4 linked regions of the Drosophila melanogaster genome follow. The protein of the gene in region 1 interacts with the protein of each later gene in a pairwise test. Each region holds a gene or a part of one and is shown on either strand. Other genes may lie near its edges.

What was found.
Region 2: the proteins of CG8191 (region 1) and CG7778 interact in a two-hybrid assay, tested with the Drosophila melanogaster proteins (one large-scale study listed by BioGRID).
Region 3: the proteins of CG8191 (region 1) and kra interact in a two-hybrid assay, tested with the Drosophila melanogaster proteins (one large-scale study listed by BioGRID).
Region 4: the proteins of CG8191 (region 1) and CG13747 interact in a two-hybrid assay, tested with the Drosophila melanogaster proteins (one large-scale study listed by BioGRID).

The regions. Positions count from the first base shown.
Region 1 is NC_004354.4:15,730,605-15,734,176, reverse strand, and holds CG8191 (uncharacterized protein), read right to left. Parts: upstream 2,000-3,572; 5' UTR 1,987-1,999; coding exon 949-1,986; 3' UTR 936-948; coding exon of another isoform or gene 624-935; 3' UTR 514-623; downstream 1-513. Other genes in the region: CG12379 (uncharacterized protein), read left to right, coding at 254-466, 624-935; HUWE1 (HECT, UBA and WWE domain containing E3 ubiquitin protein ligase 1), read right to left, coding at 3,030-3,132, 3,210-3,400, 3,475-3,572.
Region 2 is NT_033779.5:8,344,650-8,351,651, reverse strand, and holds CG7778 (uncharacterized protein), read right to left. Parts: upstream 5,033-7,002; 5' UTR 4,848-5,032; coding exon 4,787-4,847; intron 2,578-4,786; coding exon 2,041-2,577; intron 1,909-2,040; coding exon 1,697-1,908; 3' UTR 540-1,696; downstream 1-539.
Region 3 is NT_033777.3:5,595,089-5,602,855, forward strand, and holds kra (krasavietz), read right to left. Parts: upstream 6,049-7,767; 5' UTR 5,927-6,048; intron 5,484-5,926; exon of another isoform or gene 4,950-5,483; intron 4,486-4,949; exon of another isoform or gene 4,277-4,485; 5' UTR 4,266-4,276; coding exon 4,028-4,265; intron 3,957-4,027; coding exon 3,856-3,956; intron 3,690-3,855; exon of another isoform or gene 3,550-3,689; intron 3,479-3,549; exon of another isoform or gene 3,335-3,478; intron 3,255-3,334; coding exon 3,116-3,254; intron 3,070-3,115; exon of another isoform or gene 2,927-3,069; intron 2,850-2,926; coding exon 2,684-2,849; intron 2,652-2,683; exon of another isoform or gene 2,508-2,651; intron 2,428-2,507; coding exon 2,184-2,427; intron 2,116-2,183; coding exon 1,773-2,115; intron 1,744-1,772; exon of another isoform or gene 1,609-1,743; intron 1,571-1,608; exon of another isoform or gene 1,438-1,570; intron 1,422-1,437; exon of another isoform or gene 1,272-1,421; intron 1,253-1,271; exon of another isoform or gene 1,113-1,252; intron 1,035-1,112; coding exon 997-1,034; 3' UTR 276-996; downstream 1-275. Other genes in the region: SecS (Sec synthetase), read left to right, coding at 6,468-6,581, 6,645-6,774, 6,826-7,767. UniProt on the Drosophila melanogaster protein: May be involved in memory formation.
Region 4 is NT_033778.4:9,015,984-9,019,580, reverse strand, and holds CG13747 (uncharacterized protein), read right to left. Parts: upstream 1,767-3,597; 5' UTR 1,615-1,766; coding exon 1,356-1,614; intron 1,292-1,355; coding exon 1,206-1,291; intron 1,084-1,205; coding exon 933-1,083; intron 880-932; coding exon 707-879; 3' UTR 549-706; downstream 1-548. Other genes in the region: CG8170 (uncharacterized protein), read left to right, coding at 33-148; CG13744 (uncharacterized protein), read left to right, coding at 2,902-2,971, 3,030-3,334, 3,586-3,597.

The sequences.
Region 1 (3,572 bases):
TATTTTTAAGCCCCAGAGTCCAGGTGGACTTCATTAATAACTTAACTTAATATTTCACAGTAGAATTTATATTAACAATTGGTTTTAATGTCTGTGAGTTACAGCAAATTTTATCAGCACCAGTGACAGCTATAGTAACTTTTTAAAATCGTGACTCGCGACTAGTTTTGAAATGAAAGGAGGTGCCATCTCTAAGTTTAAATGAATTTCACACTTTTCGATTGAGTTAAATAATATCAACAAAATCGAGGATATGTCCGCCCTAAAAAAATTTTATAAAATCAGCGCAGGTGTGAGAAGAGGCGCACTACTTACCAGTTCCCGAAGAACACAAATTGATGCTTTAAATAGTCCACAATTGCAGTTGCAAGTGCATCACTTTGCAACCAAAACACAAACAGCTGTTTTTAGCAGCAGCAACAACTACACGTGCATTTGCCGCAGTATACACTGCAGTAAGCCAGTGGTATGTTTGGAAATCAGTTGTAAATACAAATAAACTACCCAATTGATATTAAATAATGTTATTTACATTTGTAATTTAAAATATTATAAATGGAATGCAATATTTAAAATTATGTATAACAAAAAAGTTAAGTATAATTATTTTGCTCTGCTCCCAGGACGATGCGGACAAGACGGTGGCCACGAATAGCATTCCTCTGGCGAAACTGGAGGCCAAGATGCAGCTGATCTACACCTGCAAGGTGTGCCAGACCCGGAACATGAAGACCATTTCGAAGCTGGCATACCAACGCGGCGTTGTTATCGTGACCTGCGAGGGCTGCTCCAATCACCACCTGATCGCCGACAATCTGAACTGGTTCACAGATCTGGACGGCAAGCGCAACATCGAGGAGATCCTGGCCGAGAAGGGCGAGAAGGTGGTTCGCCTGACCGATGGCAACTGCGAGTTTTTGCCGAAACATGATTAAACTCGTAGTGTAGTTAAGTGAAAACGAATGCCACTTTATTTAGCAGCTCCAGCAAATGTGTCCAGGAATTGGGGGGTAGTTGGGCACGCAGCTGCTGGGCGAACTGCCGGCGACATATGGATCCGGTGGCCAGCATCAGGTAGGTTATGTATGTGGCCTCGTTCACGGGCAGCTGCGAGACAGCCGTGACTGGTGCATCAGCGGTCAATTGCATCTCATCCAAGTCTAGGTAGGGCAGGTGGCGATTCCAATGGTCGATTAGGTAGGCAATAAGGCTGCCGGCCAGACGTACATGCTCCATACTGGCCCAGAATCTCATCTCATTGGCGGATTGCGATACGAACAGAAAGATATTGTGCAGGAAGCCGGTGCAAGCGGTAGATCCGCCCTCCGATAAAGTGTCACAGATCATGTGGCGCATTAGGTAGCAATCCTTGTGAATTTCGCTGTCCTTTGGCTCCCTAAAAAGCTGCAGCCACACCTGGTACTCAATCAGCTCCATGGAGCGCTTTATTGCGGTCTGCATGTCCTCAAGGCTGGATAAGCGGCCAATCCGCTTGACTAGCCGTCGCATCTGCTGAAGATCGGGATTGATAAAATCGCTGGAAGAAAGCGCATCCGATTGGCGTATTGCCGACCAGTCCAAATCACCGATCTCACTCCACGCAGGCTGAATCTCGGCCAACGTTCGATGCGAAAGATGAAGCAGTGGTGCATGAGTTTCTCCCTTTCGTGTGTTCACGATGGTGGTACACAGCTCACGAATACACTTCCGTCGATCCACCAATGCAGAGCAGCTAGCGAAGAAGCCACGGCAATCGCAGCGTTCGGCCAGCGATTGCCCGAAGCGATCATAGCACTCGAACAGGTACAGGTGAGCCTTTAGCAGGGATTCCACAACGGATTGGCTCAGTCGCAGATGGCGGTGCTCGGAGTGCATCTCCTCCTGACAATCGTGCAGCCATGTGAGTAGCTTGAGACAGTGCGGCGCCACATCTTCAAGCACGCTGCTCGTGGATAGGCTCAGTTCTTTTCGGATAAACAAATCCATACGGACTGCAGCTGTCAGCTGTCCGAAAATTCGATGTCACAATCGATAATGTCGATCGGTTTGCTGTGCATGAGATATCGATCTGTCGTTGCCCGTTGCGATAGAATCGAATTTCAAATTGAAAGGCGCCCAAATTAAATGAGATCGACATTAAGACCTTATATATGTATTTATTTATATATATGGCGTACCCATCCTTTCCAGCCGCATTTATAATGAGCATGTGAAGTGATTTCTGAAAATTTATTGTGATAAATGAGCTTATTCTTTATTCCACATTCTTTAAGTTACATCTGCGTCTCATTATTTCAAAGGTAAACATAAAATGCATTAACATAAGGACTTATCTCTTACATCAAAATACTTTAATCCATTTAAATATTTTTTCTGTTGCTTCCCTTTATCTTCGGTACGTACATTCACTTAAGTAAACAAGTAACCCAAGTGTGTAATCTGTTTATGTGCATTTGCGATCTATAAACTACGTTTAATCCTTTTCTATTCGGTTTCGCGTTTGGGTAAATGAAAATGTGTCAGTGTATTTTTTTTCTTTATATAAATCCTTTTCTTTTGATAAAAATGTGCAAAACGACAGAGATAGATTCCAAAAAATTAATAAAAAAAAAGATGAGTTGCGCAGAGAATTTTAAATCGAATATACTTTTCGCGTCTGTATCAGTTTTATATTTTATATTTTTTTTTGTTAGGTTTCCTTAGTTTTCTTCCGTTTTCTTTTGAAAATTTAAGAAAATATATATTGTATATATATATAGGCGCGAAAATTAATAATTAATTCAACATTTTTATATATACTATATAACTATATGTACTGTTTATGTATGCAGTTTCTGTTGCCGCTATCGCAAATTTGCAGTGGCTGTTCTGTTCTCTTCTGTTCTGTTCAATTCAAATCAATTATGCATTTCTCATCGTTGCACCCGTGTATTTGAGGGCGTTGTAGGAATAGTGTTGCGTCCATGGTTTGTTGGTTACTGGTGGCTCTGCCGGCTGGTGCTTGAAGCTGCCGTCACAGTTGTCGCACCTTAGGCGAAGCCAAAGCCCTCGGAGCACTCGTGTATGGCCTTCAGCAGGCAGCTCCGCAGCTTGTCGTATGACTTGTACATGGGCAGATCCAGTTGGTTGAAGCTGCAATCAGAGATGGGTAAGTTAATACGGTCTATGACATTGCAAACAATTCATGCGACTTGTGGATCCCTACTCACCAGGTGTGTGCACAGGGCAAGCGATCAGTGGATCGATCGTCCCGATGGATTTGGAACTTTTGAATCCCGTTCATGCCCTCCAGCGAGCCGAAGCCCTGCAGCGGCACTTTCGATGTGCCAGTGACGAATTGCAGGAACTTGGCGCGGTCCGCTTGGTCAAAGCTACGCAGTGCACGCCAGAACCATTGAATCTAATGAATGGGTAAAAAATACATGGTTTAGAGAGGGATGGAGGATGGAGGAAGATGCACAATCATGGTCTCACCTGCGCCGATTTAGAGGTGTACTTGTGGTACTCGGTGTTCGCCTTTAGATCTTCAATGTCAATATCCGGCAGGCCGGATATGAGAAGTTCCAGTTCCT
Region 2 (7,002 bases), on another chromosome or scaffold:
ATGAACTTGCAAGGCACGTATATAGAAAAGTTGTACGTATATGGCACTTGGAAAAAAGAGCTCCGATTGCAAACAGCAACATCTAAATAACAATATCTATTTATTTGTATTTACTACGATAAATAAATATCACGTTAATATAAAAAACTTTTTCCGAAAAATACATTCAGGAAAAATGTACACTGCTTTTAAATACATTTTTTTTATGAGTGTAAATCAAGTAAGTATTTGTACTTTCTGTTGGCCGTTCCCGTTGCCAAAAGAATATCGATAAATAATCTTGCAATATCAGTGCAGCCAAATGCCATTTAATTCATTTATTTAGTATGATTCATTGCTTTCTAGCGTGGTTAAATAAACAGTATTATGTACATTTATTTATCATGATTCATACATTTTTGGACAGCTGCCTAATAGATGAGCACCAAAATCATGGTTTCTTTGGACATTGGACCTTTATTAACTTTTCTATTTAGCTGTTGAACTACGTAGAAATTACTTAAACATGATTTATTGATTTTCATTCAATTACACCTGATAAGTTAGTCTAATCTATACAATAGTGTGGGCATGCAGTTCATAATCTATTGACAACATTCTGAAAGGAGTCGCCAAGTCTAAATGGATTTCGGATTTTATCAATTTGTATAACGTGCAGGTCAGTTTTAATATTGCTATAATTGGTTAAAATTCGAGATAAGCCGATTAGATACTTTTTTTGGAAAACTTTAAATGGTTTTGTTGAGTTATTCGCGCACTTTTTAGTGGTATTTATTTGGCGCTATAAAATCATTTTATTGATAAGCGCGTGCTAGCATATTTATTGCGTTTAGTGTTTCCCAAAGTCCCGAAATTGTTTAATGAAATCTTATCTAATCAATGATAAAGCATTGTTTCTTTTGTGTTTGATTTCCTTGTTGATTTTGTCTTTGGGCTTGTCTTGAGCAAATTTGTTTAGCATAAATGGCCTAAAAGTATGCCACCGCCTCGTTTTTTAGCATACTATGTTTGCTCAGTAAATGAAATCGTACCACTAGGCGTATACGTGACATTGGCATTGGTAAGGTATTGGGAACTCCCTCCCCTTCTCTATTTAGAAATCTACAAACATTTTGTCGTCTAACCATAATTTTAAATTTCAAATCTCGACATTAAGCTTCAGAGTTTAGAGACTTTTAAAGTTGTCTACAATTTATTGTTGCATGGAGTGTATGTATATAGCATTCATTATATTGACAGGATGTGATCGCGCTGTACTTTTAAAGCTCCATTTATCTTCCACAATATAAAAGTAGAGCCATAAAAAATTCTTCTAAAGATATTAACCGAAAGTGTTATAAAGTTTAGGATATTTGAGTTTATTATCTGTGCCGCAGAGTGATGTCATAAATCACTTTTTTTCAAATTACTAATCACTGACAATTGCAGTTGAGCTCAAATAAAACGAACGTTCTAATAATTACACATTATTTATTAAGTCGCCTGGAGCGTTACATTTGGTTAGATTAAGTTTGTATACAAATACGATTGTATATATTTCGATTTTCGGTTTTGTGCATATCTTAAATTTACATTTTCGATTTTCGACTTTTCGAATCACTTAACTATGAGCGCGGACTGATGAGTGTGTGAGTTCGCCTTAAAGAAACGAGGAATACTAGACTAAAGCACCGGGTAATGGATGATGATCGTGTCTCTAGTTGCGCTGCAGGGCGAATGCCACGATGGCCAGGAGCAGGGTGGCCAGAATGGAGCTCTGGAGCGCCGAGCTGCCGTTACAGGCGTTCATACTGCACGGATTGCAGTTGGCCAGCTCCGTGTTTTTGTTCTGAATCTTTAGCTGCTCGCAAACACCTTCCATGGTGCTCACCCGGGAGCAGCCGCGATCCGTCGACATTGTGCCATTCACTAGAATTTCAGATGAAAGATAAAAAGATTAATAATTTCTTTTAGATTTCTATAGAATCTACGCAAAAGGATCTATTTAACCATTTTGAATACAATGATCTATTCTGAAGGATATCATTTATGCAGACTCACCTGAAACCTGAACGGAATAGCAGTGGTAGGTGTAGTCGGTATCGATCACCGCCCTGCGTTGCCTGATTGCCAGCGATGACGTGGGCGTTGTGGTCCCCTCGTCCTTATTCACTGGCACCAAACGGGTGGTGTTCAAGGCCACCGACATGGCGGACAGATCCTCAGCGGGTGGCGTGGGCACTCCGGTGGTCGTTTCGACGGGTCCGGCGGTTCCCGGCGTGGGTATCGGAGCCTCGGTGCTTTCAGTGCTCTGGGTGCTCTCGGTGGTCGGATCGCTGGTGGTGGTTTCCACTGTCGTCGTCGTGGACTCCGTTGTGGGTGAATCCGTTTGGACACTTGTCACAATCAAAGTGGTTGTTTCCGGTGTTGTTGTAGTCTCCTGCGTCGTAGTGGTGCTCGCTTCGGTGGTGGTCACCGTGGAGGCTTCTGTGCTGCCGCCGGGATTAAAGAAATCCTCATTGCACGCCAGCAGGGGTGCATCCTTCGGTAGCTGGGCACAATTATCGCACACATAGCACATGAGATCGGCGCGAATTACTGCAATTTAAAGAAACCATTAAACCTTAATAAAGTCATTGTTTTTCTGCTTATCAATCTAAATCAAATAAATCGAACTAATTTAGAGTGCCAGGCTTGTTTACGATTTTTAAGTGGACTAAATAGATATTCTTATGCAAATATGTATGTATATATTTTATGAAGCAGCAGAGTATTTATTATATATATATACACCTCTTCAACTATCATCGCAGATTAAATTTTATACATTTTTATGGCGTATAAACCAGTGCTATTCCATTTTTCGCACACATTTTATTGGACGCGTAGATATCTACATATAACTTAAAAGTGCTCAATTTACAGCTTTGGCAAACAGAAACAAGATAAATGACAATAAGAATAAAGAACATGTGAGCACCATAAATCAATTTAAATCCCAAGTATTTGCCGTATTATTTGCCCATTCTTTAGTATTACGTTGTATGTGCTTTTCCATAGCCTTTGATCTAGCGCAAGTAGCTGTTTTTTTTTTTATCTAGTTTTATATGGGCGCTCTTCACCAGCGAATCGATTCCATTTGCATGTTATCGTCATCGCAGCAAATGGTAAATATTTGCCAGGTGCCAACAGGTAAATAGAGTCACCTATCGGCGTGGCAACACTGGCGTAATTGCATTAATTGCCTTATCAGCGGAGATGGCTACCCTCCATAAAATCCAAATATTAGTGGAGTACTGAGTACCACAAATGAGTCATATGATAATCCGACATGGAAGTTGATCTCCTCTTGACGGGCCTTCCATATGATATTGATAACATGATATCTCATATCACAACTCGTGCCGAAAGGGTAAGTTCTTGCTAAGTGAGTAACTGCAGCAGACTTTAATAATATTTAAAATAATTTCGTTAAATCGTCACAATCAAATGGTTCAATACATCCCTGCCTGGCCTGTGTTGATTTATTGTTGGAAATTTATCATAAATCATTGTGATTGATGGCTAGTTTTGGGGATCTGAAGGCAGGGTCTTAAATTCTCCAGCCGAACGACAACATTGTTGGGGTTTAAAAGCACGTGATAAGCGCCACTGCCATTTTAAATTTTTTTGTACACCTTTAACTCTCTCTCATTAATATTGTTATTATAATGTCCACATAATAAAAAGGTGCAACTCGGTGATTTTTTTCCCCTTAAACAAGGGTGCAACTGGTTGGGTTATTATTTACTTGGGTAAATCCATAAAACACCCCGTGATGCAAATGCTGTTTTGAAAAGTAGTTGAAAAGCCATTTAAAATTCTCAAGTCAAAGGTCGTTCTAGACGATTTACCGATTTCTTATCCCGTTTAATGAAGAAAACAAACAAGTTTGAAGTGGATTTTGGTATATAATATACGTTACTCTTCTCGAATCAAGAAAAAAAAAAACACAAATGAAATGAAATCATTTGCAATTGCGTCAAAAGATCGTGAAAACGTATTATAAATTCAGGTTTGGTTCGGTTATTTTCTGAGTGGTGCTAATGGCCAGACGAGTTTTTCCATTTCGGGCCGCCTTTTGCGAAATGTGTTAAGTGTAACTATAACATTTTCAATTAGCAGCTGCCAGCCCGTTTCAATGTCAACTAATATTTGTTCGTTATTCACAATTTCCCCGACTGACTTTTCCTTTTCATCTGAGGCATAAATTAGAGAGGGCCGCCCCAATGATAATGCTATACACATATAATGAAATCGAAGGGTGGGAGCTGGCTGCTTGGATGACATTTCCGCAACACACAAAATTACTGGTTGAATGGAAAAAAAAACAATTTTTGCATTATTTATGACAGTTGAATAATAACAAATAAATTGAGCTTTTTTAATGTCACTGCTTGATATGCAAGATATTATGGCCAAATGATCGTGATCTTGAATTCTGAATACATTTCGTTGGTTTTTTTTTTTTTGGCAACTGCATACATCAATCTGTAAATGTATCTGCAAATGTATCTGTATCTGTGCAATAGCAACACTTGAGACACCGAACGTGTATTTATAGCGCAGCTATAAAATCCTCACGATATGTTTATCAGATCGCATGATTCCTTCTGGCGTTATCTGGTATCTGATATCTGATATCAGATATATGCCCATGATTTAGACCGTTTTGGGCAAAATAATGCACATCAAAGTTATCACGACACTTTTCACGATATTCTAATAGCCGCAAATACCCAAAATGCTTGTTTTTTTTTGTTTTTACCTGGCAGGGCGATTAACAACAGCAAAGAGCTGGCCAAAACGATGTGACTTTTGGGGAACATGGTATTTGGTTATTTCGAAATAAATATATTCTATATATATTTCTAGATAATTGTTTAGTGTATAGTATTTATGCTAGTTTAATTGGACCGTTTGCGTTTGGTTTTTCGCGCTTCTCGTTTATTGAAATTTAATTAATTTTTCATATCAAGGCGACCGCAGTTTGCGAATTCTGAAATTTAACTGAAAATCTTGTGATTTGTTTGAGACTTTTTATAGAGTTTTAAAAGCGGACTGCGCTGCTACTGCGACGTCAGTGGCTTCGATGCGTAAGAGAGTGACTGCCAGAGCGGGACGGCATGTGGCCGACAGAGCGAGAGGGGGCGACAGATGAAGAGCGTGGCGTAAGGCAAGTTTACCGGTTTTCTATATTGATAACAAATTAATTTATAATGCATACCAAACGAGCACCAAATTAATTGATCGCCAAGAGAGCCAGCTCCAATGCTCTTAACTCCACTGGCTTGGTTGTTCTCGTTCTCTTAAATAGGTGAAATGGGTTCTTCCGGGATAAAAACTACGGATCTTCGGCTTTTCCCGTCATGCAAATGTTCAGAACTTTTCAGTACAATTCCTCACACCCTTTTTATTGCATTTTATTTCAGACCCTCAGAAGTTTGCTCTTCCTCGATAATTAAGCAGCGAATTGTTAGTCAGCTAATTGTTAATCGTAATCCCGAGATTAAACCAACTGAAAACTCGCTTCAACTTAAAATCGCTCACGCATTTACATAATATTCGTCACTTTTGAATGGTTATCATGGTTGTCCCATGATTATTATTCAATATCAGAACACGAAAAGCAAACAAATTCGAATCAGAAAGAGCCGAGCAATTAACAGAGATTTCTTTGTGGCCCCTATATTGGCTCACTCTATTGGCACCTGCGCTATTTTTGCGGGCTTAGAACCTCCGATTCGCAATAGCTTAACGAAATTTTCCAGTCGAGTAAGCCCCCAAGGTCGCTTTGGCTCGCAACTTAATTCAATTCGCCTGGTGACCCAGAAACAAAAAAATGCCTAAAGACTGGGCGCAAGGTCAACTGATAAGCCGAACTTTTGTAAGGTGTGGAGTCTTGTTTGTTGTTCTCCTTTTGTTTTTATTTATTTTTAAAATTAAGGCTTCGATAATAGAAGAATGTGTATTGTAAACATTCGGTATCAATGTTTTCATTTCACATTTTAATTTGCCTAAATCACTAATGTAGCAAATTTAAATTGAGAACTTTGAGAGTAATGGTGTAGCCAAGTAATTGACAATACCCCCAAAACATAATTTATTCATAATTTATTATATTTTTAAATAACACTCGGCCCTGAAGATTAACGGTTGCATTTCGTAGATCGTGTATCTTGGCCAAATGCAAATAACTCATCATTAACCGGCCGCAGTTCGTGCCAAATGACGAGTGAATCTGTTTAGTGCCGGCTGGCTTAACTGACGCATCGTCTGAAAAGCGCAGACGGGTGATAAAAACCATAACTTCCCCGGTTACAAAAAGTCGATGGGAAAAGTTGCATATATCTTTCAAAGTGTCGACGATATCACGTAGAGTGCTAAATGCGATATTGATGCTCTTTCTCATGCGAATTCTCTGTGTTGATTCTCTTCGAGAATCGCTTGAAAGCCGGGCTTTTCGAATCGCTGGCTTTTGGGCATGATCGTCATACACAAGGTACTTTACCGTCCCGGAAGCTGACGAAAATAAAACGGGGAAGTGTTTTAAAATTCCCCCAAAAGCGAGCCCACAAATCGAGAAGTTATATATATATATCACACATTGTCCGCATCAGGCTAACAAATTTGGCAATTGCATTTTAGCCGTTTAGAGCAAGTTTCCTTAAAGTGCTGCTGCCCGGTTGTCGGTCGCGTTTCCTCATCGCTTTATTAAGAACTTTACTTAATTCCGGGCCGCGAAATAATAATACCATAAATCTGGTAAAAGCTTTAGGCAGCAATTGCCACTCGACTTCCTAACGCTTATCGGCCTAAACGCTTTGGCCAGTTGCCCAGTTAGTTGATCGCTGTATCAAACAGTATTATCAGACTTTTTTCGGGTCGCATGAAGTCATGGAAGTCATGGAGCACACGACTCATACCGAATACGGTATACCTCGTCATCACTCTTATCGCCAGCGACTAATTGATTTGATTGCG
Region 3 (7,767 bases), on another chromosome or scaffold:
TAAAACTTGTAATATTTGTCACAAATGAATGACGACTAGATTTGGCCATGTCTGTAACAATAAACGTACAAAATATTCGAAGTTGCAGAAATGGGGATCCAGCATTCGGATTTGGTTTTTTGTCAAACTTTTAAATATAGAATCGGACCACATCTTTTTAAGACCTTAAAAAACTGATTTGAAGTTAGACCCCTCATAATGCCAACTAAATTTGTTAAACAAAAATATGCCCCTATATGCCAATCAAATTTAAATACAATGCTTTCTCAGCGTTTCAGTTAAATACTTTGGGTTGTTTAATGGTTTTATACGTATACATGTGCTAAGTCCATGTATCTTATATTTCGTAAATCCATAGATTTTGTTCGACGAAACTTTGCTAAATGATATTGATCTTTCAAATATAACTTGTTAATTTCCTTTCATCGCCGTGGCAAATCCTTCGAGAGTGAGTACTACTTGTTAAACGCATATATGAGGAAAATTTATTGATGAATAATGCGAACATGCAAACGGAACACATCCCCGAATTCACACAAAGCATCTCTGTGGTATCTCTTTTGGTTTTTTATTTGTTGCATCAACTCCGCGGAACTCCAGCTACCTCACTGCAGGTCGTAGTAGTCGACGTTATTGGCGGTCAGATGTTCTCTATTAATTTGGAGCGTGCTGCTGTTTCCACTTCAAACTTTTATTAACATATATAGTATGGGTTTGCCGGTATATTGCAAACGGGAACTAAGTGTAGATTCGTGAATGATATCAGACTGGACTGCAAACGTTTAGTTTCTAGCATGTTTTTTTTACTCTCTCCTTTATTTGTTGGAATTTTTGAGTTTTATATAGGTGGAGTTTTCAAAATGACATTAATTCATAGGGGTGAGTTTTATATATAGTTCGACTGGCTGTTGCAGGTGCTGGTTTCGAATTTTTGGATGGGGATGCTAAAGGGCGGCTCCGTTTGTGTTCATCCTCATTTAGCCATCAACCAAGTTCTTACTCGCCATTCTTTTGTTCGTCCTCAGATTCGGATTCTGAAAGAGAATAGAATACAAAATGTTAGTATGGGGGCTTCAATTGGTACAAACTGAAAAGATGTGCAGCTCCGGTTATGCTGTCCAAATGATTATTGGCCAAATTTAACTATGGAAAGTTATCTGGACACCCAACCATTCAAATGCTTTGGCACAACTCCCCGCTTGGCTCAATCGAATGAAGCAACCATTCGGAGCTTTTATGAGGGGATTGTGCATGCGGACTAGGACAAATGCAGCTGTCCAAACGATTATTGGCCAAATTAACCACGGCATTGGGTTATATGGGCACCCAATCATTCTTTCGCTTTTGCATACTGTACATGAACCCTTTAAAACTGGTTCCTAATAATGGGAACACTTTAAAAGCTTGGTAAGAAGCATGCTCGGTGAAGTCAGCTATTTGTGTCCAAGTTTTCATTGGCCTTTGATGCTCGGATTTTGTGAGGCAACAAGGCAAGCAAAAACTCAAATGCTCTTGCAATTTTGTACAATGAAAATGTCATCCAGGACAAGACCATTCTCAAAAAGTGCACTGTGTAAAGTTTCGAAGGAAGCAAAATTTGAATATTTATATTGTCCAGGTTTTCATTGGCCTACGTTGTTCAGTGAATGGAAATCAACGAGGCAAGCAAAAAACCCAAATTTCTCTTGCAATTACGTACCAGAATCAAGCTATTTAAGACAAGACCATTCTCAAAAATTGCACGCTGATAACATTTATCAAAACATACTAACCTTCTTCGGCTGACTGAAGCCATTCGACAAACTTTCGCATTTGTTCAAGGAAATGCATTTTGCCCTTGTTTGAGTGGCCCTCCTTGTACCAGCGCAAGATGATCTCCTCGGACAGGACCTCGGTCTTGTAGAACAACAAAATGATTTTCTGGAAGGCCTTCATGAAGTTCATGTTCTCGTAGCAGAATTCCTGCACCTTCAAGATTAGGGCCAATTCCGAACGGTCGGTCGAGGCGAAAGCCTGCAACAGTGGGCAGTAGTTCTTCAGATGACGAACAGCCTGATCGGTAACCAGCTCCTCCTTCTTGTTCCATTCGCCCAATGACATGATGGTGGACCAAATCTGGTAAAGATCATACATGAGATTTAGTAAGGAAATCATCCAGTTGGATTATTTACGCATCGACTTACAATAACAATTATTTCATGATCGGGAATGTTGGTGCGCTGCGAGAAGTCCTTAATGTCTGAGGTTATCTCATTATATGGCTTCTCATCGTTGATATCATCGATGAGCGCCTGCTGCAACTCACGCTTCGCCTCCTGGCTAGCCTGAGCCTTATGTAGCTTGACGATCTCGTTAAGTTCTTTGTCAAGAAAAACTTGTTTAAAATATTCCTCAGTACGTTTGTTCGGTGGGAAAAAGTCCATAAGTCTGGAAAAACGTGAAAAAGTGGAACCATTATTAATAATTTAAGTTAACGCATTCAATAATCAACCTTAAATGACGTATTGAGGTGTACGAAATTAAATCAGCACCCAAATGAAGCGAAAGGTCATTTGCGAATTGGGTAAAACTCCGTCGAACTTTCTTACTCTAGGAATATCAATTAAAGATGCACAACTGGATCATTGAGTCATCTTCCTGAGAACATTCCGGGGCTAAAAACAAATCACAACTAAAAACTTACTTGCTTTCCAGTCCACCCTTCTTAAGCGCCTGAATCAGATATGCAATGCCCTTCTCTTGCTTGAACGTCTGGAACAGCTCTAGTAGAAACTCCAATGCAATGCCATCCTTGATTAGGTGCTCGTTGTTTAGTACCAGTAAAACATTTGGCGGTACAGAACCGTTGACTGTTGATCAAAAATAGGGTTAAATATAGGGTTAGTCAAATGTTTTCGCAAAACAAGTTTAGACGGCCGGCTAGCAATCCTGTCCTTGGGCTCGTGGCCCTTAGATGTGGTTAGTTCATCCAAGAGTCAGTATACCAAGTGAAGGATTACTTTAGCCCCTCAGCTGCAAGTTGAACAAGTGTTTATCGAAACAACTAATTGAAAGACCGAATGGGCAGACGCAAGCAATGCACAGGAGGAACAGGAACATAAATGTTAAGACTTACCTAACCAGAGCGCTGTCATACGCGCAAGCTTGATGCGTTCACTAGGAGTAAAGCCCTTTACGAATAATAGAACCTTTCCCATCTCCTCTTCGAACATTTTCTCAAGGTACTTGTACCGTCTGATGAGCTTGACAAATACCTGGAAAAGGTAAAGTGTGATTGCCCCTGTTAGCGGATGGTGAAATTTTACTGTGTTCTCACGCAGGAGGCTTTTGTATTTGTTGTTGCAACATTAGAAATCTTTAGATTGCTGGCGGTAGTAATTTTACAAAATAAAGACAAGTAAAATGTGGCTTTTTATTTTGCATATTTTGACACCGATTGAGTTGTTGAGATGCATAACCGGTTCTAATAATATGCACTTTGATTCAATAGCGTGACCTTCGCAGTGGTTGCATGCATATAGTATATATATATAGTGTTGAATAAAGAGTAGTTGTTGACACATAAGAAATCTTCAGAACGTTAGTGTTTAGGACAAACCAAAGACAAGTAAATGTGTTGATTGTTATTGCATATTCTTGACACCGATTACATTTTTGAAACTTTATAGTCAGCTCTAATGATATGCAGCCACTTCACGAATTTCATACTTTTAAGTGGATCCGAAGAAAATCATTTAGTAGTAAATAAACGTTTTAGCTTGGAAAACAACAAGAGCTCAACTTGTGTTGCAATCAAACCAATTTTCGTTTACTCATAATCATAATTTAAGTATGACCTGCTAAAAGATTACAAACCTGCTCATGGTTGCGCATGCTCTCCATGCTCTCGGGCGCATCGAAGATGCAGTAGCTTGTGCGCGGCTTTTCGCCATCCTGAGATATAGAACCACCAGGCACTGCAATTGAAACGAGGATGGAAAAGGGTCAGTGAAGAGACTAAACACATTACTTGCAGCGGAAAACTTACCTAGTAGACCTCCTGCAATCAATATGTCAAAGAGAACTTCACCGTAGCGACGATAGTCGAGCTTGTTGCCCGCGCTGTCTAGATATTTAGAGATTTGTTCCAGGTCGCCTTCAGTTTTTTCGAGACCAGCAATGACCGCATCACGGAATCCCGTTGGGTCATATTTTTCTCTTTCATCTCTTTTTCTGGTCTTGATGCGTTGACCCGATAGCACTGGTCTTTCAGTTTTTTGACTCATACAATAAATTGCTGCAAAGGTAAATGTGGATCAGAGATGGAAGCGGTTTTGGTTTGCCCCTGTAAGTTTTTATTTCTGACCAGACTAAATTATCATGGCCACTAGATTCATTTTTAGATTTATCTTAATTTTAGTGTAAGATGACTAAGGTGGTCTCCAAGCGGTGGAAAACCGTTCCCTGTATATGTATTCTCGTTGCGCTCATAATCAAACTACAACATTTTCACCTATGACCGGCGTTTAAGTGGAAACTCTAGTGAAAACTGAGCCTAAGAAAGCCTTAACCTAAAAATGCCAGCGTACATGTGCTTTAAACACACACATTCAAGAGCGGAGAACGGGCACACTTCACATCTCTTTTTAATTATCTCTCTTTTTCACACACACATACCCACTGTGCATTTTACAGTTTGATAATGTCGACAAAAGAAATAAAAAGAATTGAGAGGTGAGGCGACCAAGAAATCGACATAGAAACGCAGAATAAAGTGAAATTTTGACGTGGTTACTTGTGTTAGGTAGCGCGCTGGGGAAATGAGGTCATTGTGCATGTAGTGCACATAAAAACGCGCCGATGACTGTGTGCTAGTTGGCCGGGAAAATTGTCATAGCAGCGAAAACGCAAAAATTAAATTATCTAGGCTATCAAGTACACATTGGTACATATAAGGAACGGCAACTTACGCTTTCACCCAAGGATATTAAGTCTGGCCCTGTGTTTGCCGCTTCCGCGTGTCCTTGCAATCAATTGAAATCAGTCGTGTGCGAGTGTAGTGTGTATGTGTGTGTGTGTGTGCCTGTTGCTTTTTCACAACTAACGAACGTGCGAGAATATGTAATTTAATTTAACCTCACGAAGCGCTGGCTGGTTAATGCTTCTCACTCGAGTCGACGAAAAACAAAGAGACAGATGGCAGATCCCTTCTTTTCTTACCTCTCTTTTCTTATGAGCGAGCTTTTGCACGGTAAAATTGACACGCACGCACACACACAACAACAAAGAAAAGGGGAGAGCAAATAGAAAATATAATTTTTTGTAACGGAATTTACTTTTATGCCTTCAAAATAAACGTTAACAATTTTGCTCAGACTACGTCCGGAATTCTATTTTTAACAGCTATCACAATCGGTTACTAGGTATATGTGTTGTTTGCCTCGAATCCAGCGCCCCTCTGCTCGCACCACTTTGTTAAACGAAATTCGGAGAGCGAATGAGACGACACACGAGCGCACGAACGAAGCGGACGAGCCGAGAACGAAGACATGTGGTTCGGCGCCATTTTGAAGCGATACACTGACATGGCGAAAGCGGAATGATGGGCACAGGGAAAACGAAAATTAGGGGGAAACGGTGAGAAAAAATGTGGGATGGGGGTTCAAAGTGTGTATATTGCTGTCGCGCTTATTAAATAATGAGCAAGGTACAGTCGAACAAAGGCCGACGGCCACCAAATGATTTTTTGCATGAATATATGACTGCCCGATGACTAATCTGGCCTTAGGTACGCACGCAGTTCGTACATAACCCCTTTTCCAACGAAAGCGCAGACAAAGGATTGGTCAAGGCCAGAGAAATGACCAGGACCGCGATTTTACTCGCCCTATTTGTCTTTCTGTGTACTTAGGTCTACTCTAGCGCTATTTTTCACTCCTATACTTACGATTAAAACAAAAAAATCTGTTTTGCTGCGAATAAAAGTAACTTTTTGCGTAGCTGTTGGGCTGCTTCTTCTGGATGACTTGCGGTATGACCGTGGCCTGCTTCGTACGCAATGGTACAGAGCTCACTAAGGTGTCCAAAAGGTGGCAACATTTTGGTGAAGCTGTTGGCTGGCCCCACTAACCGGACCTGAAAATGGTGCAGCGCTGCCGGACATTTAACGGAATCAAAGATTCCACAAAAGTCATGTTTGCATTAACAAAATTCATATTTAACCTTAACAAATTCAACAAATTAAGTTAAGTCCATTTTAGTAGCGTTGCGAGGAGTTTATTTTCGAAAATACGCCTTTGTATATATTATATATTTTTCCTCCACTTTAAACAAAATCGAAAGGTGTCCATTTGTCAGCTATTTAAACAATATGGCATCGCCGCCTTACTTGCTCAGTAAGAAAATTTAACTGTTTTTTTTTTGCGCACCTGAAAGCGGCGATAGACATTGTTTACTTTTAGTTTATATTTACATTATCCAAAAGCCAAATGAACTTTGAGCAGGTCAATATACCAGAGAAACTAGTGCCGGACAACTATTTGCAACTGGGACTGGCTGCGCAACGCAGTAAGCAGCGCAGTTTTAAGGAGCTGCTCGAAAAGGTAATCAAACCGAAATTAAACCCAAATTAATTGATAACTCCATGGATAATTCTTCTTTTCAAGCGAAAGCTTCCGAAAAATGGTTGGTCCGATGAACGTATCGAGGAGCTGGTGCACATGCTGGCTTCCTTGGACAGCAATAACTATCCACATAAGGTCGGTTTAGGAGAGCGGGAGGCGCGTATAGCCTGCAGTAAGTAAGGGATCAGGAGGCGATATCCCCCGTAATGAATTTGTCATTCAGAACTCGTGGCTCGCCGTCACTACAACTTCGGTCATGGTATCGGCAGATCTGGAGACTTACTAGAGGCACAACCCAAGGCAGCTGGCTCTACGCTGCTCGCTCGTCTCACAAACGCCCTGATTCTGGACCTTATTCGGGGAATCGGACTGCCCAGCTGTGCTGGCTGCTTTTTGGTGCCAATGTGTACAGGCATGACATTGACTTTGTGCCTGCAGAGTCTTCGCAAGCGGCGACCCGGGGCGCGGTATGTGCTCTGGTCCCGCATCGATCAGAAGTCCTGCTTCAAGGCCATCACAGCAACGGGCTTGGTGCCGGTAGTCATCCCCTGCCTTATTAAAGGAGAGTCCCTGAACACGAACGTAGATTTATTCCGAGAAAAGATAAAGTCATTGGGAGTGGATAGCATCCTCTGCCTGTACACTACCACCAGTTGTTTTGCTCCACGAAACAGCGATGACATTGCCGAAGTATCCAAGTTGTCCAAACAATGGCAGATTCCCCATCTGGTCAATAATGCCTATGGATTGCAGGCAAAGGAAATCGTTAATCAGTTGGAGTGCGCCAATCGAGTCGGACGCATTGATTACTTCGTTCAGAGCAGCGACAAGAATTTGCTGGTGCCAGTGGGTAGTGCCATTGTGGCCAGCTTCAATGAGAGTGTGCTCCACGATGTGGCCAGTACTTATGCTGGGAGAGCTAGTGGTTCCCAGTCACTAGATGTCTTGATGACGCTACTCTCACTTGGGCGCAATGGCTTTCGATTGCTTTTCGATCAGCGGGGCGAGAACTTCAATTACCTGAGAGAGAACCTTAGGAAATTTGCAGAGCCACGCGGAGAGATTGTTATAGACAGCAGGTTTAACTCCATATCCTTGGCCATAACATTGGCCACTTTGGCTGGGGATCAGATGAAGAGCATCACCAAGCTTGGCTCCATGCTAC
Region 4 (3,597 bases), on another chromosome or scaffold:
GAAAATTAACTAATACGATTGCTATCCTTTAGGTGTGGTCTCTGCTGGTTACTCCTGCGCGTCCCGCGGTCAGCCGGGAATCTATCACAGCGTCAGCAAGACCGTGGACTGGGTATCCTACGTCGTCGGACTCACGATGAACATCTAATTTATTCTCATCGCAATCGCAATCGTATCGCATCCGCATTCGCATTTGCACCTGCCTGCTAAGTGGGCCACAGATTGTTTTGTACATAACTCACTTCATTCTGCTCCTTGCTCCGCTTTCGAACCACGCCGCCTAATTTATGGTTACACAAGAAATACAATTTAAATTAAGAGACAAATTAGCGCAGTACAAGTTAGCAGTTAGGATTGGCAGTGCGTATCTGAGAGATAGATACACACGTGTGCGATATCTGTATCTATTTGTATCTGCAAGCACCCTAAGCCTTAAATTAATTATAACTGATAATTACGGTTTAATTTACTTAGTCATATGCGCTGTTATGTAATTTTAAAACTATTTATGAACTCCATTTCGTGTGTAAATAAATTATACAAATATTGAAATGAATTCGAGTTGTTTATTTATAGTACTTTTTTAGTAATAGTATTATAGTTTTATTAATAGTACAAGCAAAGTCCAAATGATATATTTTTCTAATTTTTTGAATTCGTTGCTGTTGGTGTTGCAGTCTGGGTCTGGAAATGGTTAATGTGCATGTTACTTTTGCATCGGCAGACGCGGCACATAGACATGTTGAAAGGGAACCCCAGCCGCAGTCCATCCATGCTCCGCATCCTGGTAGTAGAGTCCGCCCATTCCGCCATCCTTCGACAGCTGCTCCATCACGCGAAATAGGGTGAAGACCTCGTGATAGATCTTATAAAATATAACTAAAGCATACGTAAATAATTGGGATCTCCGGGTCAAGATATAGTCGGCTTACCCAGCACAAGGTTGAACACCAGAAGACACATTAGAAAGCTCGACAGGTCAATGAACAGACCTGCGGTCGCGTAGAAAACCCCCAAGTAAAGACCAAAGCCAAAAATAACGCCATGATAGATCAGCCAAGGATAAATTAGGCAGCTTGAGTCCTGTCGAGGACATATATAATTATAGTGAAGCTTTAAATTGAATGAAAGTACATATATAACGTTTGCCAATCAACTGATTCAAACTGAATTAGAATGCAATAATATCCACTTGTTTTACTTACCCGGGCAATACCAATCAGCAGCAGCAGACTGACGCCCATGTTGATCAGCGACAGTCCGTACACAATGGAGCTAAAGATGGTCAACACTGTGGCCAAGTAATCATCATTAGGTAATTCCAAGGTTAGTGCTTAAGATTAGGGAGTACTTACAATTGATCAGTAGCTGCTGTTCTGCGACCGGGACCAAGTTCATGGGCCACTGGTTTAGCAGCAGCTCGATGTCCGGACGAAAGTGGATGGTCAGCGCCGAGCTGCCCAAGATGACGGTGGAGATGATCACGCCCAGCCAGCCGAGGATAATGACGTTGTATTTGAGGTTCTGGCATTGCACGTATGAGATGGTGTGGCTGGTGGCCATCGCCACGGCGGTTGACTTTCCACCAGGATGCGATGGATCGTTGGGGGCCATGTTACCGTTTGTTGTTTTCCAACTGAACGTGCTTTCTGCCGGAATCTGCTGTTTGGGGTCTGTTTGTGTTTGCAACAGAACAAACAACGATGTACTGAAGGCTAGACGAGTGAAAACCAGGTGACAGGACTGGGATCAGGGCCTGCTTCTTTAACACCAACAAATATATTTGTATCTCAATCAAGCATGCGGCGTCATTTTAGCCGGTTTAGAGACATAGAAGAATGATAAATGAGTTTTTACTTTCTTGGGTCTTAAAATCCAATTTCACCTATCCACCCAATGGCACTAATATAGGCGACACTTAAGAACCCTATTTAATATGCTAATCCGGCCAGGTGGCGACAAGTTAGAAAGTTACTTAAATGAATGTGTGGCCCCCATTCTCCCTTGTCTAGATGGCCTAACCCCAAAGAGCACTCCGCTTGCCGCCAGTGAAATGAGCTGCTCCCATTCCGGCGAGAGATGGCAGCGGTTCTTGCAATTATGTCGCATAAAATAATTACAATAGACTGGGAGAACATTTCCTGCGCCGCTGGCGGCGTCATCAGCATTTCGTAATAATTAGTAGTGATGATGAAGAAGATCGGCCAGCACATATGAGGCAGAAGCAGCAGCAGCAGCAGCAACTTAAGACAGCAGTCACTTCAAACTGTCGGCAGCAGCAGCAAGAGAAGTCCGAACCAGAACCAAGATGAACCTGTTGCTGCGTCTTTCTTGGCTAATGGCGTGAAGTTAGTTTGCGTTTGGCCAGCGGCGCGTATGGTTGTGGTTTATTCCCCGGAAGAATACCAGAACACTTCTCAGAAATCGGAATCGAAAGATGTGGTGTGAAATGCAGGTGCGTGGCTGCTGGGAAAAGGAAAACTGAACGGAAAACTGTGTCATCGAGTCAGTCGGCACAGAATTGGCATGGTTCCCATTATGATTGTTATATAAAAATCCATTAGCCCCGAACAGCGACCCATTTGCAAGCGACCCCGAAACTTGTTCGCCTATCAAGGACACAGATCTCTTTTGCGCCGAGCAGCTCCCCGAGAGCTCCGTGAGTCACCCAGACAGGCCCATAAACAGCACCGACTTCTAGTAAAAGTGGAGCAGCAATAATAGGAAACGTAAGAAGAAAACGGCAGCGCAGAGCCAGCTTAAAAGTGAATAAGAAACTGTCATGCTTTCATTGGCAACAAAAGCGTTATAGTCCATTCTGATGAGTGTTTCAGTTTGAGTGTTATCCTCCTCGGGGAGAAGCGAAGTGCGAATAGTGACCTCGAATAATCCGACGCCAAGATGCAGTTGCTATTGTGGCTGTGCCTGTGCCTCCTCCTGCTCATCTGTCAGTCTAGTCCCAGTCAAGCCAGTGAGTACATATGCACGCGCGCTAGGAACTCCACGTCTAGTCACCCAATCCCGCCCAGATATTCTGAACACCCTACTGGGGGTGCCCGCGGAATGCGTCCACCAGAGCGGCGTATGGCCCTGCAAGCTGAGCTTCTCCTGCTGGCTCCAAGGCGGCAAGCACGCAAAGGGATGTGGCAGCAACAAGTGGCTCTTCAGTTGCTGCGTCGCCGAGACACAGCATCCGCACCAGCAGCAGCATCACTCCCCCTCCTCGCCGCTGGCCAACCTGGTGGACTATGGAAAGCTGAAGTTGAACCTCAACAGCCTGCCCAAGCGGATCATGCTGCGCCGACGTGACGACAACGAGCTGCTCAATCCCAAGGTGGGTCTGCTGTGCTGCGGCAATTGAGCCATTGCGACCGCAGAGCGGGATAATTGAGCAATTTCATTTGACAGACGGGCAGGATTTTCCTAATTAGAGCTAGAATGGAGATGCTACTTATTTTCAGTGGTTTTCCATTTCGGTGTACGACTTTCATATGTAAAGTTGAGTGCCTAAATGTACATATAGACATTAAATGGCATTGACTCATGTTACATGTACCATACTTAATATACTTAACATTTTCCCAGCCCGAGTGTGGA